Schizosaccharomyces pombe: one gene and its partner. The gene in region 2 interacts genetically with the main gene of each other region. Each region holds a gene or a part of one and is shown on either strand. Other genes may lie near its edges.

Region 1 (5,047 bases), 1.7 Mb from region 2:
ATAACTCCTGTAATGCCACAGCATATCATTCGTTTTACAATACTCACCTCCACAACTTACATTGGTATTCAAGCATGAGTCCTCTATGTACTGACCAAGAGTGCAATCAGTTTCTCGATAAAATTCTAATAGACAACGTTCAGGGCCAATACAAGGAACAGAAGTTTCCTTGTTAATAATGGAATATAACAAAATAATCCTTTGAGAAGAAAATGGAGAAAACATGAGTTTTGAATGAGAGTAATAAAGTGTCCACTGCTTTTCTAAAAAATGATAACGTTCATCAATACAAAAGAATTTATAGGACTCTTCGTAACTTTCTTCTACATTGTCATTTTCGGACTGCTTCATTACGAATGAGCCAGTTGGTGAGTATGGATGTAACTTCACATCTTTCAGTAATTTGTTACGAATAAACTGGTAATAATTAACTTGGTTTAATAAACGTGGAAGAGGCTTTGATAAAAAGGGTGAAAACGTTAAAAATCTGGTTTTCAAAGCCTTGGTAATAGAAGAATAGTCATCTGAGGCTGGTAAGTTATTGATCAACTCAAGCGGGCTGTTGCTACCTTGGGTGCTAGAAACACTTTGATTTTCATTTTCCAAAGGTCGCAAACTTTGATTATCACTGTTCAGAGATTTTTTTTCATGATTTTGGCTTTTCTCTTTATCAGCTGCAGTAGAGGCAAACGAAGGCAACGATTTCCTAGACAAACTTTGATAGGTTGTTTCAAAAAGCTCCGGCATATTCACAAATTTGTCTCTTAACAAGGCACATTCAAGTTTGATATGATATGCAATCAAAACAACAAGTTCGACAATCTTCTTGACCTTGCTCAACTGATTATAATCAGCTCCTCTTAGAACTATGGTGCAGCCTAAACGTTCCGAGCAGCGATCAAGTATAGCAAACGTTTTCCTCAACCCTTTGTTTTCATCGACAACATACGTTCTGAGTTGAAACCTGCCGCAAGTACCAAGACGAGGACAAAGCGACAATTTATCTATTGACGATATTATGTCTGCACGACAACATCTAGCTATGTCATATAAAACTGATTCTTTAAGTCCATGAAAGGCTATAACGCCATGTTCTTCAAAGTACTTCAAGGCAATACTGGGGATTTGACCCTGAGCAAAAACTAGATTCGGTTTAAGCATGCAGATTCTATTGACAAGATTTATAATATACTCTTCTTGCTGAGAGATGATTAAATCCAAGGATAAAATTCTCTGTTCGTCACAAGCGTAGTCTAAACTGAAAGTTAAAAGAGCTATACGAGGCCGACGAAGCGAGCGGTCCATAGATTTGGACGAAGCTTTTTTTGAGAACAAAACACCATTAACAAGAAAACAATCTTGAATGCTTCCCCCGGGAATCTTTTTTATTTTTACATAGCTGCGGACATCAATATCATCACCAGAGCGAATATCAGGACCTAGATCCAAAGCCATTTTTAAAAGAATTTTTGGGAGACAAAGTACCCATTGCATAGGCGAATCCACACCCTCATCATTTAGCATTTGAAAGAGTAATTTTCCCAGAAAAGTACATACAAGCTGATTAAATGAATCAGAGAAGAGAATCCAAGGTGGTAAAATACATGTGCTTTTGGAAGAGGTAACTACAGAAGAAGCACGCGACTTTCCCTGGTAAGGAAGAGGCTCTTCTGTTCCACCGGGATGATTCACCTTATCAACTCGCGCATTGAAGTTTTCAATTAAAGCGGGAAGTCCATCGGGAATAGTAGAAGAAGGAAAAAGATAGTCGCAAACCGTTTTCGGAAGAAAAGCTTTTAAAAAATTTGATAAGTAACTTTCATTACCGTAACGCTGAATTGATGCAACATTTTGCTGGCGTTGCTTAATAATTGCACTATTGGCATGAAAAGAAAGGCCCAATCCATCATTGAATAGTGATTCATCGTCGGAGTCGGAGAAATGATGATAGGAATTGCCCGAATCGGCCAAACCCCGTTCATCAGTCAAGGAAGAACTTCTTGAAATAAAGGGTTCATTTATTACTGTGCTCAATCGATCGTAAGACGTTGCTTTTATATTTGGAGAAAGGTTAACAAATGAAAGGCCTCTGTCGCCTTTGCTAAAATCCTCGAGCCGGTTTCTTTCATCAGCCGACAAGTACATATCAGAGACTTTCGCTGAGGAAAACGCTTTATTCTTTCTTAACTTTGAGTATGAAGGTACTTTTCCAAAATTGACGGGACGATAATCTGTGGAAACAGAGCTAGGACCAGCATCGTAACTATTTGTAATGGTTAAAGCATTATATTTACCACTTTCGGAATCTTCAACATTTATAACATTCGAATCTAAATTCCTTTTGCTCCAGTCAAGAAAGATGGAATGGTGAGCCCAACCAGGAGAATCATAATTCGAGCGACTAGAGGGAATAGCTATCATTGGAGCAACTTCAGGAGGATGAATATTATTAGGCATCTCAAATGTGCTACTTAAATCTCCAAATGATGATAGTACTTGATCATTCGAATTAAGTTCGTCCAGTGTAACAAACGGATGTTGCTCCGTAAGATCTCTATTTTTGGATTCGTTTAATGAATGATTGAATAGCTGGCTTCGAGAATAATTATTAACTAAAATTGAAGCACATGGACGACACACTTTGATCGATCCTTGGAGACGAAAGATAAATCCAGGAGCTTCTTTTAAGCAATATTTGCAGATAATTTTCCCACATATTCTACAATGATGTTTCCTTCGAAATAAAGTAAATTCCGTCTCACATAATGAACAGTTGTTTGTTCTTTCATCTTTCATCCAAAATTCGCGCGACAACGTACTAGTCGGCAATTTCAACGTAGTGTGGACAACATTCTCGGAATCTTTAATGATTTGCTCTGTGCTTGATGTATGCAAAGTATCTAAACGGTGAGAGGTTTCAACAGGAAAAGTGGGCGAGGCTGCGGTAGGCGTTTCGACTTCTGACATTTGAACAGAAATGCAAACCGAAGATTAAAATTATCTCCGGAAATTATTGGTTCTATTAATTAAGTTCTATGAATTGTCATGATTGTTATATCGAAAAGCATGTACGTTAAACGCAGCTGTTTGATAATAAATACTTTAGGTTTTGGTGTTGATAGAATAGTGTATATTAACGAGATTCGCCGAATTTAAGTTTTACAAAGCCATAGCAATACAAGAGCTTTCGGCTTTACTGTAGAGCTAGATATTATAGCAAACAAGAATTTGGTTTAATCACACACGAAAACCATAACATTCTTAACTTTAAACTGTATGTTGATTACTGAAAAAGAAAGGTACCCTAGGCTATATATTTATGTGTACTTTTTTTTATAGGAAACATTGGATCACCCAAGGATTAGTGGTAGTATGGAAACACTCGCTCAAGGCCAAGGAGATTTAACTACTTTTAGGTTAGCGTGTCCATGAACCAATGAACTAGTAATATAAAGAATAAAAATAGAAAGGAACACATCTATGAAGCCCTTGTCCCTAACATGAAATCACAAAACTTCCGCTTAAACAAACCTTATGGCTCACTAATAAAACCAAAAATTGTTAAGAGCATATTATCAGATCTCCGCAAAAGGAAGACGATTTCATTGCCCCGGTGATTTAAGACTCAAAGAGCATACACAACTTTATGATATGCTAATGTAACTCCTGTTAATTCATTAGGAGCTACATAATACTGTTCTTTTTTTTTGAAAAAAATAAAAATAAATCTACACATATTACGATAGAGCATTTTGAAACAACTTGTTTTCTAATTAGGAATAAAAAAATATTTATTTATTTATTTATTTTGAAAAATTGCTAGAGATCACTTGCTCATCATTGGAGAATCGTAACAAGTGGTAGTCAAGATCATTAAAACACTGTCTGACAGCTGGCCATAAATTGCTTGATGTGGAATTTAAATGCTCTTTTACTGTTTAGAAGACCGTGTTCAATTCATTATCAAAATTCATCAATCCAATGGCAAGCGGATCATTAATTGCATATGTTATGATTGATTGTTAAATCAAACAATAATATATGCTCACAATCCAACAAGATTGGTCTCATAACCATTTCGAAACTATCATATTAAAATCGGAAGAGACGATTTTACTTAATAGCAATTTGTTTCTTAGTTTGGGACTTCTCGACCTTGGGCAAGGTGACAGTCAATAGGCCATTACTGAAGTTGGCCTCAATGCGATCTGCATCAATCTTGGCTGGAATAGTAATGGTACGAGAGAATGAGCCAAAGCGACGCTCTGACCAGCGTTGGTTACCCTCGGTGCTTTCATTCTTTCTCTCATTGACGACTTCGCCAGAAATAGTAAGTTTTCCGCTATCATAATGGACTTGAACGTCCTCTTTCTTAACACCAGGGAGTTCTACATCAACGCTAACAGTGTCTTTACCCTCATGCACATCAATCGAAGGAGACAACTCCCCAGGAATTTGGTTGTTCAAACGAGGGGAGTAACTAACAAAGTCAGAGAACAAGTCGTTGACAGTAGGGGGAAAGCCGAAAAAAGGTTGCAAAGACATTTTTTAAAATTTAAACAATTGCGAGTAACTTGAAATTATATGAATTCAATTCAAATCTGTATTTGTTCGATGCTGGACTAGCGGAAGGAGTACCCTTATTTATACCTTTCTGGGAAGCACGGAATGGGATGGATGTCATATATTGTACGATGACTCGAATTTTCTCGTAAACGTTGTGAAAGATCACGAATTTGCCGGAGTTTGTACTTTCGGAACGGCGTCTTTTGCTAACACTCAAACTCTGTATTGGGTGGACTTAGATGTTCGTTAGTGCTTGCTCTAGAAAAGTCCAAATTTGCCACTTATGCGCCACAACCGAGGCAGATTCAAATATAAACTTCGGTACGCAAGGCTGTGCTATCTTTCTAGAGAGATCTAGAAAATAATCATTCTAGTAGAGTTAGAAAAATACTCATTTCATTGACTGTATATCGTTTCCTTTACCTTATTTTTTTTTTTACTTTGTAGTCAACTAACCAAAATAAAATTTTTAGGACGCATT
Region 2 (4,948 bases):
CACATTTCAAAAAACTTGGCTATATATGCTTCATTTTTATTAATTCTATCCTCAATGGAGCTATTAGATATCATATTTCGAAGCCGCTCTTGTCAATTTTAGACTCAAATCGTTTAACACACATGCACATGCATGTGCACGCACTAAGAAGTTAGAAAAGGGAGATCTATTTAACACCTGATAAAACTTGGGTTAAAACTTCAAGTCTACAGTCTTGATACGAAATTATATCTACGCCATAGAGAAAAAAAAATAAAAATTACATACTATGGTTTGACAGATTTTAGCGTTAGTTTTTGAAGAGGTCGTATACAGCATATTAGGTATACGCTGCAGTAATTATAACCCAATAAGTCAAAATTTTTTCTTTATTTGTTGCTGATTGTTTCCTTTACTAAAAAGGGATTTACCATTACTCAAAAGAAATTACCTAGTTTCCAATAAATCATATGGCATTTGTCCAGTTCAAATACTTTAAGACACGTATAGTTTATTTTTTGAATGTCCAGCTAAAAAATATATTACACGAATCAGTATAAAAAGAATTCCTTTCTTTTATTCTATTTATTTGTAATTGAAAACGAATTAGCTTCCGTTGTCATTTTACCAATTGTTAGTACCTAGAATACATATGGTTTGGTTATATATGTGTATGTATATATTATTTACTACAATAGTACAATGTCAGTTTTAAGACAATATTGAGTTATGTTAAAGGAAAGCAACATTAAAAGATTAAACGAGAACCAGCAAAGTAGGCTAGTGCCAGCAAATTTGCAATCGAAATAATTAAAGAATTTGATTTAAGCACCCGCTCAAAGACGCTATACAGCGTTTCTCAAATTAATATTAAAAAAAGATGAACCATTTATCCCGTACTCTGAAAACCAAATCATCAAATGATTGATATTGTGAAAGCATATCTACCGCATAGTAGAACAACACTTATTTAAGTTAAGAAAGTGAGTGACTCTAACAATAGTTGAAGCTTCGAAACTAAGAAAAGCAACGACAGCATATCATATCAAAAAATCCTCCTTTTGCTTCCGAATCAGAATTATCGTTAGGATGATTTACTCCGACTGCATTATTCGAGGGCTGAGATACATACATAGGTCGAACCCTATCGTAACCTCTAGAAGAATGAGCATAAATTGTTTTTTTAGAAGCAGACTGTTCTTGACGCACCAATGGAGCGTTTTTGCTCGGCAACGCATCGAACGATGAGTAATTTCTAGGACCTCTCACCCCATATGAGGATTTAAATCGCATGTTCTGTGTTTGCAAAGTACTGTTCTTTTTTCTGGAATCATCATTTTGAACAACATTTAAGCCAAGGTAATTCTTTCGTCGCTTCATAGCAACAACAGAAAAATGAGAAGAGCTTGACTCCCAACCTTTACCGTCATTCAATAACATCCAATCATAAACCCCATCATTCGTATCACCATTTGCTCGAAGTACATCATCAAATAACTCTTGTAAAAACGCATAATCCGGTTCTTCATCAAATTCTAACGAACGCACATAAGTCATGTATTTACTGAATTCATTAGGAAATCCAGCACAAAGCTCACTAATGGAGGTAGATTGCTTCTTTTCACTAATCTTTTCGTATTTGTGCTTATTGTTGGCAGCTTTCAATCCTTGCCAAGGTAAACTTCCCCTCAAAAAATACATAAAGACGTGTCCCAACGATTCTAAGTCATCGCGACGGGATTGTTCACGTCCAAGATGCGTGTTTATACTCATATATCTCGCAGTCCCCGAGAGGCTTTTACGTTCACTATATGGTATATGTTGCTTGGTTTTGGGATCACGGTAATATTTGGCCATACCAAAATCAACCATATATACCATGTTTGCATTTCGAGAGGAAGGTCGGCCTATTAGGAAATTATCGGGTTTGATGTCTCTATAAACAAGGTTTTTTTCATGAATCGTCTGAACTCTGGAAAGCTTTGAAATGTCAGAGAAAATTTAAACAAATTGAAAACCTTATAGGAACAACTTAGGAAACTTACCATCTGTTTCGCCGTCATAGCCACCGTTTTGACACTGAATCGACGACCGCACCATTCAAATAGGTCCTCTAAACTAGGTCCCAGTAAATCAATAACAAGGATATTATGTAGTCCTTCCTGCCCGAAATAGTAAACATTAGGAATGCCAGCTATTTGCAAATACGGTTAGTACCAAAGTCTTGACCATATGTTTTGGGTAGCAAAATAAAAACATACCATTTCCAACTAGTAATTTATAAGTTCTGTATTCATCACGGAGCTGAGGTGCCTCCGACTTTTTGGGTTCCTAACGTCCATTGTTAGTATTGTCCATATACTCATCCTAACAAAGAACATACAAATTTTATAGCAATAAGTTGGTTATTCAAAAGATTCATCCCATCGAAAATAACACCAAACGATCCCTCACCTATTTTACGACCCACGCGATAGTGAACCCCTACTACGCTCGTTTGGGAATTCATGATAAATAACCCTGTCACAAGGAATTGACCGAACAGATAAAATTTTTTTTATTGCAAGGACTATGCAGTTTTTATGTAGTCAATTTGTAGCCTCACTAACAAATGCCACACAAATCTCAGTTTGTTTTCACTGCATTCACCACAGAGATTGAAGTCCAATTGCGATTCAGTAGCCGACCAAAAACAACAAAATTTAGAAAACCAATTACTATAATTTAATAGAAGTTACAGGCTTTCTTTCGACTAACAAATGATTATGTGGTTTGAGTGTTTTAGTGGACGTTAGTTGTAAGGTGTACTTGGATGCAACACACTAGGCCTTAGCTTAATTTCCAACGTAAGGGTGAGGCTATCCAGGACAGGGAAAAAGCCCCGAAGGCGCAATCATCATAATAAATCAAGAATCTATAATAAAAAAATTTAATTATTTTAAGCCGTAAATATTCTAACCAGTGATTATCTAGCATCTACCATCGTAAAAACGGAGTTGTCGGAGCTGAGGCTATACGATAGATTATACAAACATAAGTAGTACTAGGTTTAAACAGGTGTTTATCGATTACTGAGGAAATGTAAAGTAATATATAGCAAAATTTCATTTCATTGTTTTGTTGCTACGTCCAGAAGTTTCGGAATCAGAATGTATAACTCTCTATCTTTACATAGTACTGAGAAAATTTGCTTTTCACGAAAAAGCTCCATTTGATAATCTTCCACTTGCGACTCAGAAAGTGAAGAATATACACTTTGCAAAAAATTTTTTTCCGATTTCAAGTAATGTTTACTTTCGTCGTGAATATTGTGTTCCATATGTTGTAACCATATTAAAAAGTCTGATTCTAACATAATTTCCTTTACCATTGGAAAAAATGAAGATTCTAAATCTTCATGCGCATCGATGATTTCTGCCCAGTTCACCTGTAATAGAAAACGGCGATATACGAGATCTTTTAAGTAAAAATACACGTCCTTAGTGATTGTAGCTCTTTCTAATAACTCTAAGGCCAAATCAACTTCTTTGAATGAACATTCCCGTAATGAAAAAGAAGAAAAGAAATCTACCATCTCACAAAGCGTAGTGTATTCGTTTTGAATTAATCGCTCAACAGCACTAGACACGAGCCAGGCTCTGATAGAGTTTTCTGATAGATTTACACAATTGGAAGTTACTATTGCTTCGACAGCTTCTCCCTCGTCTTCTGTAATATCCACAAGTGATGAAAGCATTTCAGCATATTGCTCTTGAATAAGCAAAATGGCTAAATGATTTTCAATCACCTCAGTCTCATTTGACAATATGATATTTTCACCTTCAATTCTATTAGTCCATGAGTAGAGCTTTGCTAGAGCTAACTGCGAAATTTTACCGATAATCCTGTTTTCTTCTGGTTCACAATCACGGAAAAGAATTTCGGAGGCTCGTCCATAATTTCCATTTTGAGCTTCAAATATCCACAAAAGATTCAATAAATCATTGGCTTCAAAAAAAGATATTAAAAGTGATTGATACTCCAAGAAATCATGAAGCAAAGACGCATACTGCTCTGTATCAACCAAATAAAAAAAAATTACATCTGCGAATTCTTCTTTGTATTTATTTAAGCATGCTTTTTGCTTTTGAAGCTTAATGGTAGGATCCTTTGGATCTAGACAATCCAGCAAAATTACCATTGTCTGAAAGTCTTTAACTTTTTCCGCCAAGTCGATTGCCTTTTCCAAATATCCGACAGAAGCTTCTTTGTTAGCGGAAACAAGAAAGTGAGAAACAGCTTACCTAAATATTGTAACCATTCTTTTCGTGAATTGCCAAATTCTTCTTCAAATTTTTGAAAATTATGCGATTTTACTATGGTATCATCTGTTCCATTGTGCAAATCAAAGATCAAAAGGCAATTTTGTTCCACCAGATGCAAAATCTGCTTCCGAAGCTTGTTACTGACTTTTAATATGTGTGCATCTTTCGAGTCACGTACATCGCGATGCAATGATATCGAATCTTCGATCTGTTTTCGTAGTAAATCTAAGTGATCAACTTCAACTGTCCAAAGGTCGCTTCTAATCACAGAGGATGGATCAGTAAATTTTGATATTTTTTCTTGCCTATAAGCAAGCTCATTTCCAAAGATAGTCTAATATTAGTAAACCTCGTTATTTTATAAGAAACATACCCCATAAACGTTATTAACATTTACTATTACTTCAATTCTTTTTTGTGCGTTGCTAGCATCTTGGCCAGATATTTGAGAATATTCCGAGCTTAAATGCTGTAATAACAAATTTATATTCAGGCACTTTTTCAAAAAAAGTTCATCAATATTATCATTTGAAGACATTATTTTCAATACTCGTCGAAGCAAGTTAGACATTTTTTCATTACACATCAATAATTCATATAGGTCTGCCAAAGCACTGCAATAGGCAACTTTTAGCCATAATTGAAGTCTATTAGAAGGAGATAAA

What was found.
Region 1: of cki2 (region 2) and fab1, changing one suppresses a phenotype caused by changing the other (phenotypic suppression), as found in Schizosaccharomyces pombe (one study listed by BioGRID).

The regions. Positions count from the first base shown.
Region 1 is NC_003423.3:2,656,377-2,661,423, forward strand, and holds the start of fab1 (1-phosphatidylinositol-3-phosphate 5-kinase Fab1), read right to left. Parts: upstream 3,082-5,047; 5' UTR 2,968-3,081; coding exon 1-2,967. Other genes in the region: heat shock protein Hsp16, read right to left, coding at 4,114-4,545.
Region 2 is NC_003423.3:969,961-974,908, forward strand, and holds cki2 (serine/threonine protein kinase (CK1 family) Cki2), read right to left. Parts: upstream 2,779-4,948; 5' UTR 2,489-2,778; coding exon 2,363-2,488; intron 2,311-2,362; coding exon 2,241-2,310; intron 2,182-2,240; exon of another isoform or gene 2,174-2,181; coding exon 2,025-2,173; exon of another isoform or gene 1,960-2,024; coding exon 997-1,959; 3' UTR 647-996; downstream 1-646. Other genes in the region: SPOM_SPBP35G2.04C (uncharacterized protein), read right to left, coding at 4-74; nucleoporin, WD repeat Nup131, read right to left, coding at 3,089-4,221, 4,263-4,617, 4,657-4,948. UniProt on the Schizosaccharomyces pombe protein: Casein kinases are operationally defined by their preferential utilization of acidic proteins such as caseins as substrates. May contribute to the regulation of morphology.